Macaca fascicularis: one gene and its partner. The protein of the gene in region 2 interacts with the protein of the main gene of each other region in a pairwise test. Links are inferred from orthologs where the notes say so. Each region holds a gene or a part of one and is shown on either strand. Other genes may lie near its edges.

Region 1 (10,628 bases), on a different chromosome or scaffold from region 2:
TGCCTGGGGATTGGGGAGCTGTAGATGGTACCGAAAAAGAGAATAAGTGAGTTCTTAAAAGAATTAAATTTAATCTTTGACATTCTAACCATAAATATGTCAGTAGAACATCCTCTTAAAAATGTGAGGCCAGCAGTAGAAATTTGGAATTTGATAACATTTAAGAGTTGCACAGGCCAGGCATGGTGGTTTCTGCCTATAATCTGAACACTTTGGGAAGCTGGAGCAGGAGGATTGCTTTAGAACAGGAGTTCAAGACCAGCCTGGACAACATAGCAAGATTCCAACTCTGCAGAAAATTAAAGAAAAACTAACTGGGCATGGTGGTACACACCTGTGGTCCTAGCTACTCATCTGTAGTCCTGTCTACTCAACTAGGCTGAAGTGGGAGGGTTGCCTGAGCCCAGGAGTTCAAGGTTGCAGTAAGCTATGATTATGCCACTGCACTCCAGCCTGGGCAACGGAGTAAGACTCTGTCTCTAAAAATAAAAATAAAAATAAAAGAGTTGCACAATGTCTTATGCTGCATAAAAAAAGTTGTGAACCAAAGAAGAAAACAGATCTTTGAGAGAGAGCATAGTGTTATTAACAATGTGGGGGTAGAGGTAGAAGCCAGATTGCAAGAAATTAAGAAGTGAGTAGGTGCTGAGAAAGGAATAGTCTAACTATATTACAAATATATGAAACGACCTCAGTGAAAGGAATTGGGGGAAAGGTGTTGACATAAGTAGCTTTGGAAATGATTAGAGTGTAAGAGTAAAGGCAAAAGGAACTACACATAAGCACTGTACTCTAGTTGATAAAGTTGTTACCCATAGGTGTACAAGTTAACAATTCTGATAATGTTATACATGTATATGGGAATTAAACAATTACGTAAATCAATAGCAAATGTTTGAGAGCCGGGTTTCTCATTGTTGGAGTGGGAATTTACAGATAAACAAAGGGCTGGAAACAGCATGAACTCCTGTACCTTAATACAATATGGATGGTTACATATAGAAATACTTATAGATATGTGTATATAAATGGGTTAATGTGTGTATTTCTTGGCTTTCTCAGCTGAAAGAGTCTATAAGCAATGACATCCCAGTAGCGGTGAGCTCACCTAGTACCCATGTCTTGGTTTCTAATAAAATTCTCCAATAAAAGGTACCAGGGCTCCTTGGAGAAATGGCTGATTCTAGGACTGGGGCAAGAAATACACAAGATGGACCTGGACCATCTCATAATGCCAGTAATAAAGAAGTATTCAAAACAAACAAGAAAAACAAAAACCTACATTGATGAGGATATGTCAGAAGGATATAGGAGCCAACTAAGAGAGCACTGACCAAAACTGAAATAATTTGACCATCAAAATTTTAAAAATAGCATTGGGTAATAACTTAAAGTATAAACTAAATATCCATGAGTCCATACTGATATAAATAAATGAAGGAGAAAAGACATGTCTTCCATGCTGAAGAATTCCAAATAATATATGTAGCTACCCTGCCCTCAAGTAGAGGGAGCATAACTCCCACTCGTAAGGTGTTGGCTATACATGTGTACATATGGAAAGGGAGGAGAAAAGTAACTTTACAGTGGGGAAACCTGACAAATACTGCCTTAGCCAGGCGATCAAGGTCAATAGCAACAGTGATAAATCACATTAATACCATGTATCCTTGATGTGATATGATGAAGATGGTACTTTGTGGTCTTCCTGTCAAAAACCCATGTTCTCTAGTCTAATGAGAAAAACATCAGACAAATTCCAGTAGAGGAGCATTCGACAAAATACTTGACTGGTACTCCTAAAAACTGTCAAAGTCATCAAAAACAAGGAAAGGCTAGAAAACAGTCACAGCCAAACATCCTGAGGAAACGTGACAAATAAATGTAATGTGGTATCCTAGATGAGACCCTAGGATAGAAAAAGGACATTGGTACAAACTAAGGAGATCTGAACAAAGTACAGAGTTTAGTTAATAATAACATTTCAATATTGGGTCAGTAATTGTATCAAATGCACCATACTAACGTAAGATGTTAGTAGTAGGGGAAGCTGGGTGAAGGCATGTCTTAGTCCACTTGGGCTAATATGAGAAAGTACCATAGACTGGGTGGCTTTCACAACAGACATTTATTTCTCACAGTTCCGGAGGCTGGCAAGTCTATAACGGTGGGTATAAGAGAACTGTGCATGATCTCAGTTTTTGAGTCCACAAAAATAAAAGGCAGAGGAATATAATGAGGTAGAGTTTGTTTTGCTTTTTTCAAGGGAAGTTTGAGCATATCAGTATGTGATGGAAGATTTACTGAAGGAGGAAAGGTTAAAGATGAAAAAAAATAGTAGGAGTTATCAATTGAATAGATGATAACAAATGTATAAGTGGTAAGACAAACAATAGAGAGGAGGGAGGCATTTTTCTCCAAGTTGAAAGAAAAGGATTAAAAGATAGAAAAAAATGCAGAGCAGTTTTAGCGTGGAGTAACAGATATGTTGTGACAGTATCAGGTAAATATATTCTCAATAGAGGTGTTAGTGTCCAGGTCCAGGGGATGGGGATGTAGATTTGTTTTATATACAGAGGTAATTTTACTTTGTTGATTGTCTACCATTATATAAGAACCTGTTTTCCTGGTATACTTTACATCACAAGGATTTGTAAAACTCAGAAACCTTAATAGGTACGTCTTAATTTAAATAAAGGAGAGAAGAAAGGAAAGATTATAAATTTACTAATGTCAAGTTTAAATTTTTCTAGGTTTCAAATCCTGGCAGATATTACGCATCTAAATTAGCTGTAGGGCACTTAATTTGCAAAACAAATCTTTTTGAAAATATACTGCATAGACGGAATGGAATTTCTTTTCTTTTTTTTTTTGAGATGGAGTCTCACTCTGTCACCCAGGCTGAAGTGCAGTGGTGTGTTCTCAGCTCACTGTACCCTCCACCTCCCAGGTTCAAGGGATTCTCCTGCCTCGGCCTCCCGAGTAGCCGGGACTACAGGCGCATGCCACTACACTTGACTAATTTTTGTATTTTTAGTAGAGATGGGGTTTCACCATGTTGGCCAGGCTGGTCTGGAACTCCTGACCTTAGGTGATCCACCTGCCTTGGCCTCCCAAAGTGCTGGGATTACAGGCATGAGCCACCGTGCCTGGCTAGAAATGGAATTTCTTTTAATTTCAGTGAGATCACTTGGGCTTTGTGCAAATGGAAGCTGACACCAAACATTTTTTAGGACCTGTCAGTAAATACTTGGTTGAATTGAATGTGTCATAATGGCTTGAATACAATTTCTCAAATAGTACTTATATGTATATGCTCACACCATTTTAAAGAGATGGGGGATTGATGGTTAACATTGTTTTTTCATTTGTACTTTAGTGACTAACCAATAAAGTAATAGATAATAGAGTACTACTTTATGTGTTACTACTACTACTTTGAGTAACTTTATGTGTTACTCTAGAGTTTAAAACTCTAGAGACCTTTGCACATATATTAATGCTTTTATTAAAATATATATTTTGATAAATACCTGGTCATTGTAAAAAGTTTAGAAAGTGCAGATTGGTAAAAAGTTCTTAAATCTCACAGATAACCACTGTTAACATTTTTTTGGTATACTATCCTCCCAATATTTTATATGTATATGTTTTACCAACTATATATATTGTAAACACATATGTAACCCCCGTGTTCCTTCTAAGCGCAATCACTGGAAAACAGAAGAATACCATTCTATAGCTAAAAAGGTTTTAGAAATATAAAAGCCAGTGATTTTTTTTTTTCCTGATCTTTTTCTTTTTTAAACATCAGAACCCTTTCTCAAGGTAGTAAATATAAAATTGAAGCTGTGTAGGGTGTCCTGCCACCTAGTCTTTCCCCTTCCCTGAAAATAAATAAAAATCTGTGTCCCTAAGTATTGCCAAGAATTCCTACTGAAAATAATTTTGTTCTACCCTCTAATATTCTGCTCTATTAAAGGAATTTTGAGTTAATTCATTTCCCATTTTCTCAGTTTAAATTGTTTTTTGTTTTTTTTCTGCAGTAAAAACTAGATTTTCATATGCCTTTCCAAAGGAATTTCCTTATAGGATGAATCATGTAAGTATATGGTATAAAATAGAACACTTATCAAAGCTATATATAAATTAGCTCTATACTATATTAGACTAAATTTAGTAGTTTCCTAGAAATGGCAGTTTCAAATATTACATAAATACAGACATTATTCTAAATTAAAGCTAAATAACTTTTACCATTTAAAAAAATACTTCATAGTAGTGATTATCAACCCTGGCTGCTCATTAAATCACCTTGGGAACTTGTAAATAATACTGATGTTGGATCCTTTCCAGAACAACAAAATCAGAATTTTCAGGCTTGGGGCTCCCAACATTGGTACTGTGTAAAAGCTCCCAGGTGATACTACTATTCAGCTGGGATTAAAAACTAATGGAACAATATGAAATATAAGGTGAGTTTTTATTGACATTTTAATAGGTATGTCCTTTTTCCACCTTGCAAGGGATTTGTTTATTCTCTTTAAGTTACATTTTTTTAATTAAGTAGAAATAATTGTATTAGAAAGTATACTGGAAAATCTGATGGTTTTACAGGATATTTTAAATAAAAGTGAGTAATAAGAATGATTGTGAGAAGCTGGCTTTTCCTTACAAGGATTAAAATCTTTATAATCATAATTGCATGTATAATATAGTAATTTTTTATTGCAGATATTTATTTTAATATAAACTATGTTTATTGTCTGGATTTTAAAAACTTTTTAGTAAACATTTTTAATAATTACTATAATGTCTGTAATTTATGTTAGATTAAGTGGATGGACTTATCTAATTTGGTTTCATATTAACATTTCATTGATAATCTTTGTTTTCAACAGATATTAGAATGTGAATTCTATCTTTTAGAACTAATGGTAAGTAAATCTTCTGTGATTAATAGATTAAAACATTTTTAAAATTTAATGAAGTTGGAAATTATTTAAAGAAATTATTTTAGGGAGGTACATTTTAAAACCATCCACCTGATATGTGATGGTGAAATCATGGTAGCCTATTTATATTAGCATCTAGAGTCTCTCTGATGCCTGTAAAATAATTTGTATATCCTACTTAGGGATGAGAAAATTTTTCTGTTCTATAGTAAGTAACTATAATGAAAGGATTACAAACAGACAAGTCAGGACATTAAACCACCGTAAATTATGTGCACAATTTGTGTGTGCGTGCAGTGTTATTTAAAGATAGATTATGTCTTTGGCAGAATTCTGCTCCTCCAGTTGGGAATTATGGATTTATAGGCTAATAAGAGGTTTCAGTGTGTTGCAGATGTGACACTTTGAGTCTCTAAGGGAATGAATGGATGCTGACTGACTGCCAACCGATTTATCAAGGTATATTCCAGAGAGAGCACTGCCTTCACTATTATAGTAGAGTTTAGGGCTGTCATACTGCTTGCTTAAGAGAATAAAAGGGAAGCAAGCATGAGTTAGTGAAATTCACTTTGAAATACACAATTACAAATCAGTTGGGTAATGATAACATTTTTGTGTTGTAATAAATCTGTTTTTTATACATACACATTTTTTAAACTGTTTCTAGGATTGTTGCTTGATAGTGTATCATCCTTATAGACCTTTGCTCCAGTATGTGCAGGACATGGGCCAAGAAGACATGTTGCTTCCCCTTGCATGGTAATTAGAACAGAAGTTATTAATAGTGTAACGTGTTATTAGATAGGAAGGTTGACAATTAAATATGAAGTCCAGTATATTTAAAGTCATTAAACTATTGCCCCAAGATATTTTATGTTGAGCAAAATACCACTTGTTGAATTTTAATAACTATAGTGGTGTAAATGCCAAAATGAAAACAATCCTAAATTATCTGTTCCATAAATATACCTATTGAAATTTAATTTTATACAAAACACAGACTGTTAACATAAAAATTAAGACTGAAGCTATCTTTAAAGTAATCAGAATACTTTTTGGTAGTATGCAACATACATACAAATTTACTGTATAATTTCTGTTTTTCTAATTTGATTTTTCAAAAATTAGAAAAATGTGTTTATAATTTGTTATGAGATTTTGAAATTTAAAATATATTTAGCTGTAATTTTATTCATTGATACGTGCTTATTTGTTATCACATTCATGTATCCATCCTTTTGCCTTGATGTTTTCACTTTTATAGCTGTGCTTCAGTAATATAAAAGGAAATAAATGTGTGCAAAGATGAGAAATCTGGCCCTCTCTGGAGGAAATGTACAACCAGATGAGGTAGTTCTGCTTTCAGTAATAATATGATTTACATTTCTATAGGAGGATAGTGAATGATACCTACAGAACGGATCTTTGCCTACTGTATCCTCCTTTCATGATAGCTTTAGGTATGTAAGCATGGTGTGCCTTTATTAGTTAAATTAGTTATAAACCTATTTAGGTCATCCTAAACTAAATTTCACCCTGTTGTACTTTGTGTTTTTATGTTCCATGAAGTAATAGACTAATCCTTGCATGTGAACTTTCAATAATATGAACTGCAACTGTCACAAATCAGGATTATTATTCCCCCACCCCCTTTTTTTGGTAAGTTTTTTTTTTTAAACCATTCAAAATAGTTTTAATCAGTGTCTGAATAGAACATATTTGTTTATTTAGAGGGAAAAGTTCAGAATTAAGCCAGCTAATATTAGTTGTAGCATGTAAAATAATTGGGCCTTTCATATCTTGAGCCCAAACAAGTACTCAGAGGTTGTGTAAAGGAGCATCTGTGGTCCATAATGCTTGGCTGGAGGAAGAAGTTAGATACATTCATTCTACTGTCTGTGGAAAGCAGTGCTGTAATGGGTGGAGTCAGATAGTCCTAGGCTTAAACTTTACTTCCTTTACAATTGTGGGAAAATTATCTGACCTTTCCGTGTTTGTTTCCTTAATTGTAAAATGGAGAGAATACTAGTAATTCCACTGAGCCATTTGAAGAATTAAATGAGATAGCTTGTACAGCACCAAATAATGCCTGTTATATATTGGGCACTTGTTAATTTTGTTCCTTTTCCTTCTGTTGATTTTTTTTTTTTTTGAGATGGAGTCTCGCTGTCTCCCAGGCTGGAGTGCAGTGGTGTGATCTCAGCTCACTGCAACCTCTGCCTCCTGGATTCAAGCGATTCTTCTGCTTCAGCCTCCTGAGTAGCTACAGGAGGATTATAGGTATGCACCATCATACCTGGCTAATTTTTGTATTTTTAGTAGAGATGAGGTTTCACCATGTTGGCCAGGCTGGTCTTGAATTCCTGACCTCAGGTGATCCACCCTCCTTGGCCTCTCAAAATGCTGGGATTACAGGCATGAGCCACCGTGCCCAGCCCCTTCTATTGATTTTTATAACTCCATCCTCTTGATTTTCCCCTCTTATTTTCCATTGGTTTGTCTTTGTTCAGTTGTTAATTATTCCTTAAATGTTGATGTTTCTTGGCCTTCTTACATCAGGGCTGACAAATAGGTTATACTTACACTCCTCTATTACTGGCAGCTCCCTGAAAGGACTGGATTTGAAAGGATTTTTGAAGTGGTGTCTGGGTTCAGCGGGTACGAATACTGGGATCTCTATAGGTAGGAAGGAAGGGATAACAACATGTGTCACATCTTTGCCATCCCTGCAGTTTTCTTCTTGGGTACTTTCCATGAGATTCATGGCTTCTACTATCACTTATGTGCTGAAACATTTAAATTTCTTTATTTAGCCAAGATCTTGCCACTTTTCAGTTCTTTATATCCATCTTCCTTTTACATAGCTCCACTTGGCATCCCAGCAGCACCTCAGCCTCATGATGAGGATTGAGCTCATCACTTTGCCCCAAAATATGTTCCTCCTTTTAATGTCTTTGCCAGCTTGGTGAATAGCACGAGTTATATACCTTAGTTGGAAACCCAGCAGTTAGGCCCTTTCATCTCCCTCAATACCCACATGTAGTTGTTTACCAATACATTTTGTGCCTTCATCTCAATTGTTCCTTCTGTAATCTCATAGTCATCTCATTTCTATCCATGTTACCACAGCAGTCTCCTAACTGGCTTATTAGCCTACAGCACTCCCACCCTCAGAGAGCCTGTCTATCCTCCAAACTGTTGAGTGAAGCTAGTGGTTTCACCTGGGGATAATTTTGCCCTGAGGGGACATTTGGCAATGTTTGGTTTTAGTTGTCATAACTAGGGTAGGGTGCTACTGGCATCTAGTGCGTAGAAGCCAGGGATGCTGCCAAGCATCTTGTAGTATTCAAGACAGTATCAGAGAATTGTTCAACCTAAGATGTCAGTAGTGCCAAGATTGAGAAACCTGGAGCCAGCCGAATTCATCTCCCAATTGATATACATACTATTCTCTTCTCCCACTCTTATTTTTTTTTTTTTTGTTAAGACTTGGCTTAGATATCTCCCAGTGACCCTCCCCCACCCTTTCGGCATCACCTCAGTCTGGGTTTAGGATCCTTTCTCGATCTCCAGTGTACTCTATGCATGCCCATGTTAATAGCATTGTCCACTGTATTTTAATTTCCTGTTTTTATCATTTCAGTCCTTTAGTTTTTTAACCCCTTCTTGACTTAAGCCCTACTCATAGCTTTGCTTGACTTAGGGCAACCAGTGTGTCAGTTCACATTTGAGTTGCTATTTGCCTAGAATGTCATCCTTAGCAAAGACATATGGATAACCAGACCAAGGAGTATAACTTAAGCTGGGGTCAGTTCAGGATATCCAGGCTGCTCAGTAGAAATTGTTTTAGGCAAAGTTGTGATGTAGATTGTTCTCTTTTGTTTATATTGTATATAACATATATAACTAATTTTGTATACAGTATATTACATTTTTTTTCTAACTTTTATTTGATTACAACACTGAATTCTGTAAGGATGTGCCCAGCTTTCACATAACTTGATCATATGCTAATAATGAAAAGGAAGAAAAAAGACGAGGCAACACTGCTTTTAACTGAAATGTGGAAATATAGTCAACATTGTTAAAACCTAGTGTATTAATTGACATTTTTGTTTGTTTTTTCGCACTGACTTCTGGGTGCAGTTTAACTGCTGCTTTGTACACTACTCAGAGATAACTTCCCTTTTCCATTCTCCTCACTGAATGTTTTTTCTCTTTAACTTGCCTGACTCTCAAGGCAACTGCACCGTGACTAGCACGCAGCGAGGACCAGATGTCAAGAACTTGATGTAATTAGTAATTTTTTCTGTCTCGGATTACATTGTTGAGGTGGTCAATGGTAACTCTCATATGTAGCTGTTTAATTTTTTTTAAAGAGTGTTGGAAAATACACAGGAAATTTTTTAGTGAAAAATCTTTGTTAGGTCATATTCTGTGTTTGCAGTTAAACATGGATAGTTGTCTTTCATTTTCATTTCAGCTTGCCTACATGTAGCCTGTGTTGTACAGCAGAAAGACGCCAGGCAATGGTTTGCTGAGCTTTCTGTGGATATGGAAAAGGTATTCTGTAAAATTCCCTTAGTTGTATGTAAACTTGAATGTTTAAAAATTAATGTCGTATGTACTTATCATGAGCCTAAAATCTTATGATGTCCACCAGGCTAAGAAGATTATTGGTTACAAAATATTAAGAAACATGGGCGGGGTGTGGTGGTTCATGCCTGTAATCCCAGCACTTTGGGAGGCCTAGGTGGGCGGATCACCTGAGGTCAGGAGTTCAAGACTAGCCTGACCAATATGGTGAAACCGCATTTCTACTAAAAATACAAAAATTAGCCGGGTGTGGTGGCATGCAACTGTACTCCCAGCTACTCGGGAGGCTAAGACAGAATTGCTTGAACCTGGGAGGCGGAGGTTGCAGTAAGCTTAGATCATGCCACTGCATGTGAGCCTGGGCAACAGAGCAAGACTCCGTCTTAAAAAAAAAAAAAAAAAAAAAAAGTTTGGTAGGAAGACTTAATACTGATTATTTAAGCTATGTATCTCTTTTCAGTTTAGGATTAAACAGAATGGTAAACTTTTGGTTTGATTGGTTGCAAAGTAGCCTCTAATTCCCAGGATTATTTTAAAAGCTCCCTGGTAACCACTGAATACTACTGTGAACTTCTGTAACATAACCTATCTCCTGGCAAAGTGGCTTTTGCTGTGTTTCTAGCTTTTGTGCTCAAGTGTTAGATGCATTAAAATTAATCCTAAGGTTAGGTTCTACTCAGGTGGGAAAAAACGGCTAATTTGGAAACTAGTTATTTCAAATTTGTAGCTGCCAGTTTTTGAACACCTTAATGTATGTGTAGTTAACAGAGAATCAAAACATCTTTTGTGCACTACCCCCCCATTAAGTTGTTTAAAATAATTTATACTAGAGGAGTGTGCCCTATAATGGTATATTCCCTCATGATTAGAACCTTTATTCTTAGTATGTTTCCGTTTAAAAGATATCATCAGATGGAAGGAAATCAACTGCAGAGATAGATAAGAATGGACAATGCACACATGCTGAAAAATGAGAGGCTAGAAGGAAAATCCTAAACAGCATTGTGGTGAAAAATACTGCTTTCAAATTTATCAGGATTTAAGGACAGAGACTACTCTTTTCTGAGGGTTGTGTAG
Region 2 (11,158 bases):
AGAGTGGTATATCCTGCCAGCTAAGAGTTTAGACCAAGATAGTTCAGGAGGCAATAAAACAGGTCACCAAAGAGCATCAGACATGCCAAATAGCCCAGACAACTGAAAAAGGAGCTGCCCTCCCACCCATCACAAGAAGGGCCTAGGGCCAAAAGGAATCAAATAATGCTGAGCTGACCATACACTCCTGGTGCAGAGCTGGGTTTAAAGAAGAAAGAATTTATGGTGTGAAAGACAATAGGACAATAAGCAAATCCTGCTGTTGAACCTAAAGCCAAAAAGAAAAAGAAAACGATGATACTTTTTTTACTCTTAAGAAGTTTAGCTATACCAGCAATAATAAAAATTGTCAATAATCCTAATAAAAACATGTGGTCTACAAAGTGTTTCCATAGACAGTTTTCCATGCTTCCTTTGGCAAGTTTATAAAGTAAGTAGAGAAGACATGGTTACCTCCACTTTGCCTTTGGGGAAACTACAGCTAGGAGAAGCCACATGTCTTATCCGAAGACACAGAGCTATTAAGGGTGTCAATGTCAGAACTAGAATCCAGGTTTTGGTAAGTGAGTCTCAACCTGGCTTTTGGAGGCTCATCACCTGTAGAGCTTCTAAAACTCCCAGTGGCAGGGTTGAATCCCAGACCAATTAAATCAGACTCCCTGAGGGCAGATTCAAGCCTCAAAAATTTTTTAAGTTCCCTGGGTGACTTCAAACACAGCCAAGGCTGAGAACCACCGTCCTGCCATGTGTCTGATGATGATGACAGAGCACCTGGAAATAATTTGAAAGCCACCTGCAAATGTTTAAGGGGAGGTATAGCTACAACAATTGAGATTTTTATGGTTTAAAAAACATGGCAGAATTTACAGATCCTATAAATGTTGCCTCCGGCCAGAATTTTCCTTTATTCCAGGATGCCGTCTCTAGTCAAAGCATGTTTAGAAATTTCTGTTTTGTTAATGTCCGTATCCTTTTAATATCCAGTTTGCTGATAGCAAACCTTTGGTCTTTGAGCATAGGTTTGACTTTTTTAAAGCTGTCCAAAGAGAAACCTTGTGAGTGACGTAGACAATCAAGTTGGATCATTTTTAAAACCACCTTCATAGGATTGTGACACATAATTTAATCTAAAGGCAGTTCCTGAAGAGACTTGCCAAAAATTAGTGGGAATCTGTGCATAGGGTACAACAATGTGGATGTACTTAATGCCCCTGAATTGTACCTTAAAAATTGCTAAAATGGTAAATTTTATGTTGTGCATATTTTACCATAATAAGAAAAAATCAGAGGGCTGGCAGGGTTGTGTTCCTCTCTAAAGGATCTCGAGGAGAATCCTTGCTCTTTCCAGGGTCTAGAGACGACCTACATTCTTTGGCTCATGACGCACTTCCTGCATCTTCAAATCGCAAGGACAAGGCAAGTTCTTCTCACATCGCGTCACTCTGACCTATGTCCATAGTTTCCTCTCCTTCTCACTCTCTTCTGCCTCCCTCTTCCACTTTTAAGAGCCCTGAGTCCACCTGATAATCCGAGATAATCTCCCTATCATAAAGTCAGTTGATTAGCAACTTTTAATTCCCTCTGCAACTTCGATTTCCTTTTATAGGTAATCTAACATATTCCCAGGTTCCAGGAATTAGAACATGAACATTTTGGTGAGAGATGGAGGGGACAATTATTCTGTCTACCACAGGAGCTATTAGCAGTACTTTTGTATTATTGTAAAATAATATACTTAAGCAGGATGTGGAGAAAGGAAACAAGCAACATGAGAGAGACCGTCTGGACTGAGCTTGACCTTGGGTTTGGAGGAAATCACAGACACTGGGTGAATCATAGTAGAGACAGAATTCCAGGTCAGAGGCTTCTCACAAGCCACGCAGCAAAGCACGAATCCAAATCCATCCTGGAACTTGAGTTTTAAAAAGAAGAATCAAGGGAGAAATTATGGTGGAGAGAATCATTGCTTTATCAAATATATATACAATTTCAATTCACTTGATCATTTTAGGACACAGGACTATGTTTCACCCAAGTGGAGTCTGATTCCTGCTAGGAAAGCCTGGTGTGCTGGGAAAAGTCAGAGACCTCTGATCCCTTCAGATCATAATGGCCCTCTGAGGTTTCAGGAAGTCTATAGTTAAGCACTTTCATGGGTCTTCATGAGAGTCAAAGAAAGATGCCCTTTCTTGATATACACTGATGCCATCAGGCGCCAGCATTGTCCCTTTCAGTACTCAGAGTTCCTTGTAGCACCCACCAGCTGTTCACAGTGCCAGGGAACTGGGCCTTACAATAGCACCACTCGGGGACTAGTTTTATCCCTTTTAAAAAATTATAAATAAGTTGAGGTCAGGAACTGCGTCTTTCTTCATGTGTCTCTCCCCAATCCACCACCCAGCGTCTGCACAGAGTAGCTATTCAACAGGTACTGGTTGGACTGAATTGAGAAAGGCCAAAGGATCAAATAAAGAGTTGATGGGGTCTCTAAGACCTGGAGTCGAGGAAGGAAGAGAGGAGCTGGAAGCCCAGGCTGATAATGATTGACCCACACAAGGGAAAGGAGGAATTCTTGGGCACAGGAGGGCAGGTCAGAGGGTCTCTTCACTGGGAAATTCCTGGACCACCAATAACCCAGAATAATACAGCACTGAACCCGAAACTCCCACTGGAAGAAGATGAGTTTTCCAGAGCTTCTTTCCAGCGCACAGCTCATGCCTCCTCCATTCAGATTTGGATACAAGCAGCTCTGGGAGATGTCCAAGTCAGAAGGAAAAATCCAAGAACGACCAGGGGGAGATAGGGACTGCAGCACTCAGCCCCTCCACCCTCCTTCTCACAGGCCTGCCTGCCTCGCTCCTGGGTCCAGGGCACCAGATTCGCCATCTGCCCCCGAGGCATGAAACTGCTCTGGGATCCAAGAGTCAGGCCATTATATGGCCTGTCTTTCAAGTGGCTTTTTACAGCTTACTCAGGTGATGAGCACGTTGAAACAAATGAATACAAATGAAAAAGGCATCTGCTTTGCCAAGGAAATTATATTTATTAGGAGGTTAAAAGGGAGGGCCATGGGGACATCAGAGAGTTCTCTGGGTGAGCATAGGAAGGAACAGACCCCCAGGAAGGAAAGGGTGAGCAGGACAGTCTAGAGTAGTTGGGGAGGCTGCAGGCTTTGGGTAAGTTTCTCGGCTGCCTTACGGGGGCCACTCCAGCCATGCAAATGATGTTTTCAGGCCCCTTTTGTTAAACCAGAGCCAGGTCACAGCTCTGCAGTCCTGGGCCCTGCATCCTTGCTCCTCCGGCATTTCCTAGGTTCTAGCGCACGAAGGAATTGCAGGGCCCACAGCGGGGGCGTGGGGCACAGGGTGTGCAGGGGGCAGGAGGAACGCAAGGTGTGCAGGGATTGGAGACACAGGGTCCGATGGACTTGCTGCACGCGTTGGTCGTGGCACAGGGATTGCTGGGCAGACTGGAGACAAAAGAATGATGTGGAAAGATGAGTTAAGGAAAATTTTAAAATCATATGCCAGAGATATCCCCAAGGGTAAGAAGGCCTGTCAGGACTTGGCCCAGCCTAGAACAGAGAAGGCACAGGCTCCCCTGCTACAAAGATAGCTCACATTGTTCATGGTCTCCCTGCCATAGAGCACCAAGGTAGACAGAAACTCTGAAACTCTGATGTCTACTCTCAAATCCGTTCATGCCAAACTGATGACATGGGTTGAGTCATTTACCTTCTCCAAGCCCCAGTTTACTTTCCTATAGATTGGAGGAAATACTGATCCAGCCCACCTGGTGGTAATTATAAGATCAAATCAGGTAGTCTATGGGAATGTACCCACTAGACAATACGGTATTGTAAAAAGTAAGGCATTGATCACATATCATGCAGTCATGCATATTATCATAGTAGAATGCAAAGACTTGGCAGTGCAATTTCAGTTTGTACATCAAACAACTCTTGCTACCAAACCATTTATGTTTTAAATGATGGCCATATTATATTGTCTGAGTTCTGTTTGAGCATGTCTAGTGTGAAGGCATAATTTCCTTTCCAAGGTATGCAATCTTTGCATTGTGTCTGAGTATTACACTCACACGTGCACCGCTTCATCAAATACATCTGCCCATGTACTCACTTGCAGTCCTCGCTCTCCAGGAGGCTCCGGTACGTGTTGATCTCACACTCTAGCCGGGCACGCACATCCAGCAGCACCTGGTACTCCTGGTTCTGCCGCTCCAGGTCACAGCGGATCTCCGCCAGCTGCGACTCCACATTGGTGATCAGGCTCTGCACCTGGGACAGCTGGGAGCTGTAGCGGGCCTCGCTCTCAGTCAGTGTGTTTTCAAGAGAGTCTCGCTGTGGTGGGGAAGATCCGGAATGTCAGAGAGCTGCTCCTTCAAAGGGTTTCTTCATAGGATTCCAAGGAAGTCACAAGCTCCAAGAGCTAAGGAGAGTGTGTGGCCCCAAGGGCATCCCCAGGACTCTGCCTTCCAATTTCCCATTGCTCACCAGCAGGTCAGAACAATACACACCAGGTTATGCTGGGCCTGCAGCTCAATCTCCAGGGCATTGACCGTTCGTCTCAGCTCGATGATCTCTGCCTGGTAGGACTGCAGCTGCTCCGAGCTGGATACCACCTGCTTGTTCAGCTCCTCGGTCTGAAACACCCAAGGGGAGAAAGGATCAGACCCTGCCTCTGGGGCCATAGGGTGGGCCTTGGGTCCTGAGTGGCCACGTGCTTAGATGCCCACCTGCGTGGTGAACCATTGCTCCACTTCCCTGCGGTTGGTTTCCACCAGGGCCTCATACTGACTCCTGGTCTCATTTAGCACCCGGTTCAGGTCCACAGTGGGGGCAGCATCTACCTCCACGTTGAGACGGTCTCCAAGCTGGCAGCGCAGGGTGTTGACCTCCTATGGATGCAGAAAATACAAGAGTTACTATGCTCAGCAAAGAATGGACTCTAAGGAATGGCATTGCTTGTTGAAGCCCTGTTAGTCTGTTCTCTCAGAACAGAAACTTTGAGTGGAGCAGTCTGTGACAGCTCAAGGCACTCCATGTGGCATAGCCCCCTCCCCACCATCTGCTGTGCCATGGCACTTGGCTTCAGAAAAAAATCCCAAAAGTTTGCTTGGATGCCACTGAAGGATGGACTAATTGAGGTTCAACTTTCCCAGTTTACAACTGGCTGTGAGGACCTCAGCATACAAAAAAAAAATAAAATTGGCTGTGCAATTTCAGACCGTATATCAAAAAACTCTTGTTGTCAAGTAAGAGATAAGAGCATATCATGGCCCCTCCCAGGAGAGAGAGGAAGAAGCTCACAAACACTATTCGCCAATACTTTGAAAGAGTAGAGACTCACATTTATAAGGTTTGATTTTTTTTCTTGGTCTTTGGCAAAAAAAAAAAAGACTTTGCAAAGCAGTAACACTGCAATGCTAGGACTCATTCTATAACTATTGACCAATTTCAAGCACATGGAGCTGCTCTGGGCAACTCAAAGAATGTGCTAGTTTAAAGTGAAAGATGTTTCCTGTCTGGGAACATGAACAGGTCTTATCTCTCTCCAATTTTTCTCTTGCCGTGATGTTTTTAAAGGAAACCCTCAGCCTTGTACTCATACTCTGCATTCTGCTGCCCCTAATCACTAAAGCTACCCTGAGTCAGAGGCTGAGACAGGTTTGTGCATTTCTGATTTCTAGTCTCACCTGCTCGTGATTGCTCTTGAGGCACAGCAGCTCCTCCTTCAGGGACTCCACCTGGGCCTCCAGGTCGGACTTGCACAGGGTCAGCTCATCCAGGATCCTACGCAGACCATTGATGTCCGACTCCACCAGCTGCCGCAGGGACAGCTCAGTCTGGTACCTGCACAAGGAGCGGGTCAGAGCACTACTTGGTAGATCTTCAACACTCACAGGAATGATTTTTGATAACCTCATGTGCCTTATCTTTCCACTTTCTGTAATGAATAGGCCCAGGAGACAGAGGTTTCTGGAGGCTCCATCAATACCCAATATTCATCCCAAAACAAACAGATTGATGTGAGTCCTCATCTATTTTTGTGATTTCTTTGCTTGGTTCTCCCCAATCCTCTGCAGAATCCTTCACAGCAAGTGGGTAGATCTGTTTTTCAGTACAGCCATGGAAATCCCTTTTCTGTAACTAAAGATTAAACAGAAGAAATGGACACTAGTGCAAATTCCGAACAACTCACTTGGTTCTGAAATCATCCGCAGCCAGCTTGGCGTTGTCGATCTGCACCACAAGCCTGGCATTCTCGGACTTGGTACACAGGATCTGGGGAGTGAGAGGTGGCTTAGTGAGGACTGAAAATAAATATGACATCATCAACTTTTTAAAAATGACTTAAAAAGACATTTTGAAATAAAAGAGGAAGCAAGAATTATGACAGCACAGAAGCAAGAAACACACTTCTCTATCACAGACAGAATCACTGCAAACTCTCTTGCTTGGAGATGACAGCAATGCCCCTCACCTTCTGCTGAAGCTCCTCGATGGTCTTGAAGTAGGACTGGTAGCTGGGGCACAGCAAGGGCTCCTGCTGCTGGGACCGCTCCCGGATGAGGCTCTCCAGCTCCGCGTTGTCCCGCTCCAGCTGACGCACCTTCTCCAGGTAGCTGGCCAGACGGTCGTTCAGGAACTGCATGGTCTCCTTCTCGCTGCCATTGAAGGAGCCCTCGCAGAACCAGTTGCAGTTGCTCACATTGGCAGGGATGTTGCAGGCCCCGGGTAGGGTGCAGCCGTGGCAGCTGGGGGGCACGCAGGGCCGGGAGGAGCAGCTGGTGCGGCAGCTCAGGCTGGGCAGGCAGAAGTTGTAGGGCATGGTGCTGGGAGGGAGGGAGTGAGTGCCTGGCTGAAGACAGAGTCTAAATTCTCCAAGCCACAGAGCTGTGGGTCTCCTTCCTCTAGGGAGCATTTATATCCCACTGCAGAGGGTGTGGACACAGTATGTAATGTCTTTTTTCTTTTTATTTCTTCACTTCTTTTCAAACGCCCTTTCCTTCAGTCTGTTATTTGCCTTCCTCAGAAGAGTCCCTTGTCCCATAAAATTCTTTACTTGGGCTTCTTGCTAAGTCAGGACTCCTCCGCAGACAGTCCACCCATGAAATCAGAGTTCTGTGGTAGGCCTTCAAAGAGGCTACACAGTCCAGCCCAAGTATCTGCCCTCATTAATTGAGGTGTTGATCCATCCAATGACATTCTTTTGTGTCACATAATCCTGCAGGCCCGTAAACATACTCATGTCCTGGTCCACCTGCCATTTCTAGGGAGAAACACGGATTGGTTTGAGGAAGAAGTTGCATTAAGAGGCCACAGTGGACTGTGTTTCCCTCTTCATTTAAAGAAGAATCTTCAAATGATGGAGCATTCCATGCCTTGGAAGCCTTAAGGTGGATGACTAGAATCAATGGAGGACAGGGATGAAAATATTAGACAGCAATTTGTGTTTTACGGGTCCGTGTAATACTTCCCCGCCAACACTGCATATTACTTAAGAAAATTGTAGAGGAGAGAATTTTAAAGGTAGAGGCTTTGACAACTAGTTTGAGAACAGAGAAGTTTCTAGGGTAAGAGATCATTTTGAAAGAAGGCTGAAAAGTGCAAACTGAGAGAGCCATAAAAAACACACTTAAGGCTGGACGTGGTGGCTCATGCCTGTAATCCCAGTACCTTGGGAGGCCGAGGCAGGCGGGTCACGAGGTCAAGAGATTGAGACCATCCTGGCCAACATAGTGAAACCCATCTCTACTAAAAATACAAAAAAAAATTAGCTGGGTGTGGTGGCGGGCACCTGTAGTCCCAGCTACTCGGGAGGCTGAGGCAGGAGAATGGTGAGAACCCGGGAGGCGGAGCTTGCTGTGAGCTAGGATCCCGCCACTGCACTCCAGCCTGGGTGACAGAGCGAGACTCTGTCTCAAAAAACAAACAAACAGAAAAAGGCATTTAAATGACCTAGAAAAGATATTTAGGGGCAGAGAGAAAGGAATAAGGAGAGAGAAAGGAATAAGGAGGTGTTTGTCAAACATTTCTTCGGGTGTCCATAGTATCCAAACAGAGTAGATGGATATGTTAGGAAAGTCAGGAGATAGCCCAAAGGGGCCTCCACAGGCATGAAATCACATGTATTTGATCTTTAAACTTCATGTGAATTGACCCTATATTCCATAATATATCCATGTTGGCTTTAATGTTTTCTAAAAGCCCCTTTTAAATTTCCAGTTAAACTTTCAAATGTTTTGCCCAATTCACTAAGAGAAAAGGATACACCAGGAAGATGGGCTATATTCTGTCCTGGGCTTCCCATCTCCAGCCCTACTGTAGATGCCCCCTGCTTTAAGAACCAAAGGTCTAAAGGTACCAAAGGAGGTCTCTGTGGTTGTATAATTAAATCCAAGGACCTGTGCACCGGGAAAGAAAATGCTGAGCACGGCATGAGCAAGGGGGTTTTGCAAGGCAAGCTGGAGTCACTTGGGGTTGCTTTGGGAGGTGAAGGAAGGCACTAGAAGATCTGAGGAAGAGGTAGCCAAAGTTCTGAATATATAAAAGTTGCATAATTATAGGCACCGTCAGGTACCACCTGCATCTCTGGAGGCAGCACCCCCATCTCCACTGTGGCTTTGGCTGCCAGCCAGAGCTGCCGTTTTATTGACAACTTATTGGAGTGCTTCTCCCATTGAGCTTTCATGATGGTATTCATGTCACACTCTGCTTGGGTCTCAGATAAAAGGTCCTTCATCTACACTCCCCAAGACCATTATCACTGCTTATTATAATGCCATTCAGATGAAAAGACCCACAGCACTACAAGGAAGATCTAGACTTATAATAAAATCTATACTTCTTTGTTTCCTTGCAAGACAATTAAACGTGGAGAAATAGGCGGGTCTACAGGCTGTTACCCTTGAGACTTTCCAGAGGAAGGACGCAAGGCTAGGCGGCAGCTGTCTGTGGGGAGCTTCTGTCTCATTTCATCTGGGCTTGGGGTGAATGGAAAGGCTCATGCATCTGATTGATGAGCACTAGCTTATAGATGACAGCACAGGCCTTCTGCTTCCTAACTCTTGTCAGCCTGCTCCAAGCACTGGCTTTCCAGCAAGCAGCTATTTCCTCAGCCCTTTCTTCTTCCCCAGCCAGGGAGGCTTTAACCTAAGCCCAGACTAAATGCCAGCAGTTTTCTCCAAGCTCTTGGGTCCTATCTACTGACTGGCCGGCATAGCCTCATGGAGACTGTAGTCAAAGAAGAGTGTTTAGGCTCTAAGTATAAGAAGATTCAAGGAATGGATTGACAAGAAAGCAAACATAGAATTTTTGTACAATGCAGAGAGATCAGAAAAATGGAAAGAGATGGAGACGAGGAGAGATAACAAGAAAAAGAAGAGACAAGGAAGAAAGTTAGGAGGGAAGAATCTTCAGAATCATGCAACAAATCAGACAAAGTTAGCCCAGCTTCCAAGGGGCTAACCTGGAGAATGCAAAGCTGAGAAGAAGCCAAGGCAAAATAAGCCAATAGACTGAGGAGTGGCCCACCATGCTGAGTGTCCTGCAAGGCATAAATCGAGTTGACTCAAAAGATCTATGGACACGGGACTGCAGCTTCTGAGGCCTCTGAAAGAAGTGACATTGTTCCAAGGTGTCCAGACCAAAGCATCACCTCTGTGATCCAGCTTAAGATTTGTTTGTGGCTGAGAAATATACTGCCATCTACACCCAGGCAGTGTAAGGTCTAAAAGGAGCAACACTGCCTGTTCCTGAAGGAATAAGGAGTGGGAAGAGAAGAAAGGAGAAATGAAGCAGGGAGAGTCAGTCCTGCACTGGCTGCAGGTCATGGCCCATCAACAGCCACATAGAAGATGCAGGAGAGAACAAGCGACCCCTGTTATCTTCTGGTTACTCCTAGAGATTCCTTTTTCTCCCTGCTGGTTGCCCTGCAGAATGTGAAGTGGCACAAGAATTCAGGATGGGGACCACAGAGAGACTGGCTGGTGAGTAAACACAATGCTGCCATCTCTTGTAAATCTAGCTTCTTTCTTGCAGTGTTTCTAAGATCTCAGTGGGCTTGAGTGAATTTGCTCCTTGAATTAGTGGGGAAAATGGGACCCCAGGGTTGTAAGGTCCCCATGACCTCACACAGGCAAGGGATAGAATTCATGTATTCTCTTAGTTTCCTAGTTGGAATAGTTGCAAATTTTTTTCATTCAAGGAGAAATTGAGCAGTCAGTGGGCTATCAAACCCACATTCATTATTTAGTTCAATTTAATTCAGAACACATTTATTACACAGCTTCTCTATGCTGAGCATAAGACTAAACTAAAACAAAAGAATCGTAGTTCTGGTGAAAAAAATGTTTTTTATGAACAATTCAGGCCAAGATGGGTCCCCAATATGTATGAGAAATAGCCAGAAGTTAAGGAGATGAGATATTTAGAAGGTGTAAGATGGACATTTGGAAATATGTTTGTATTCAATGTAAATAGAAAATGGGTACTGGGCACAGTGGCTTGCATCTGTAATCTCAGCACTTTGGGAGGCTGAGGTGGGAGGATCACTTGAGCCCATGAGTTCAAGACTAGCCTGGGCAACTTAACGAGACCCCATGTCTACAAAAAAATATTAAAAATGAGTTTCAAAATTAGCCGGGCGTGGTGGCACATGCCTGTAATCCCAGCCACTTGGGAGGCTGAGGCAGGAAAATCGCTTGAACCCAAGAGGCGGAGGTTGCGGTGAGCAGAGATCGTAACATTGCTCTCCAGCCTGGGCAACAAGAGCGAAACTCCATCTAAAAAAAATTAAAATAAAATAAAATTTAAAAACGAGCCAGGCTTGGTGGAGCACACTTTAGTCCCAGATGTTCTGGAGGCTGAGGCAGGAGGATTGCTTGAGCCCATGAATTTGAGGTTACAGTGAGCCAAGATCATGCCACGGCACTCCAACTTGGGCAACAGCAAGACCCCATCTAAAAATTAAAAATAAATAAAAAGAAAAATGTACGTGTGACATTATGGGCATTAGTCACTTGTTGAACATCTACTGTGTGCATCTGCACATCTACAGTCCCAGGGGCGGGGGACATTGTGGGGAGTGGGGGCATGTCATGTCCCCACCACCCGGGAACTCTGAGTCCTGCTAAG

What was found.
Region 1: the proteins of keratin, type I cuticular Ha1 (region 2) and CCNC interact in binary tests that used the Homo sapiens proteins (3 or more experiments, as listed by UniProt). The two-hybrid records come from large-scale screens. The link is inferred for Macaca fascicularis from reciprocal best matches to the Homo sapiens genes KRT31 and CCNC.

What each region holds. Positions count from the first base shown.
Region 1 is NC_088378.1:75,754,300-75,764,927, forward strand, and holds part of CCNC (cyclin-C), read left to right. Parts: intron 1-4,046; coding exon 4,047-4,102; intron 4,103-4,901; coding exon 4,902-4,937; intron 4,938-5,339; coding exon of another isoform or gene 5,340-5,363; exon of another isoform or gene 5,364-5,504; intron 5,505-5,622; coding exon 5,623-5,714; intron 5,715-6,347; coding exon 6,348-6,415; intron 6,416-6,524; coding exon of another isoform or gene 6,525-6,535; exon of another isoform or gene 6,536-6,609; intron 6,610-9,438; coding exon 9,439-9,518; intron 9,519-10,628. UniProt on the Homo sapiens protein: Component of the Mediator complex, a coactivator involved in regulated gene transcription of nearly all RNA polymerase II-dependent genes.
Region 2 is NC_088390.1:62,439,283-62,450,440, forward strand, and holds keratin, type I cuticular Ha1, read right to left. Parts: upstream 6,921-11,158; 5' UTR 6,852-6,920; coding exon 6,504-6,851; intron 6,305-6,503; coding exon 6,222-6,304; intron 5,873-6,221; coding exon 5,716-5,872; intron 4,918-5,715; coding exon 4,756-4,917; intron 4,663-4,755; coding exon 4,537-4,662; intron 4,361-4,536; coding exon 4,140-4,360; intron 3,470-4,139; coding exon 3,316-3,469; 3' UTR 3,024-3,315; downstream 1-3,023.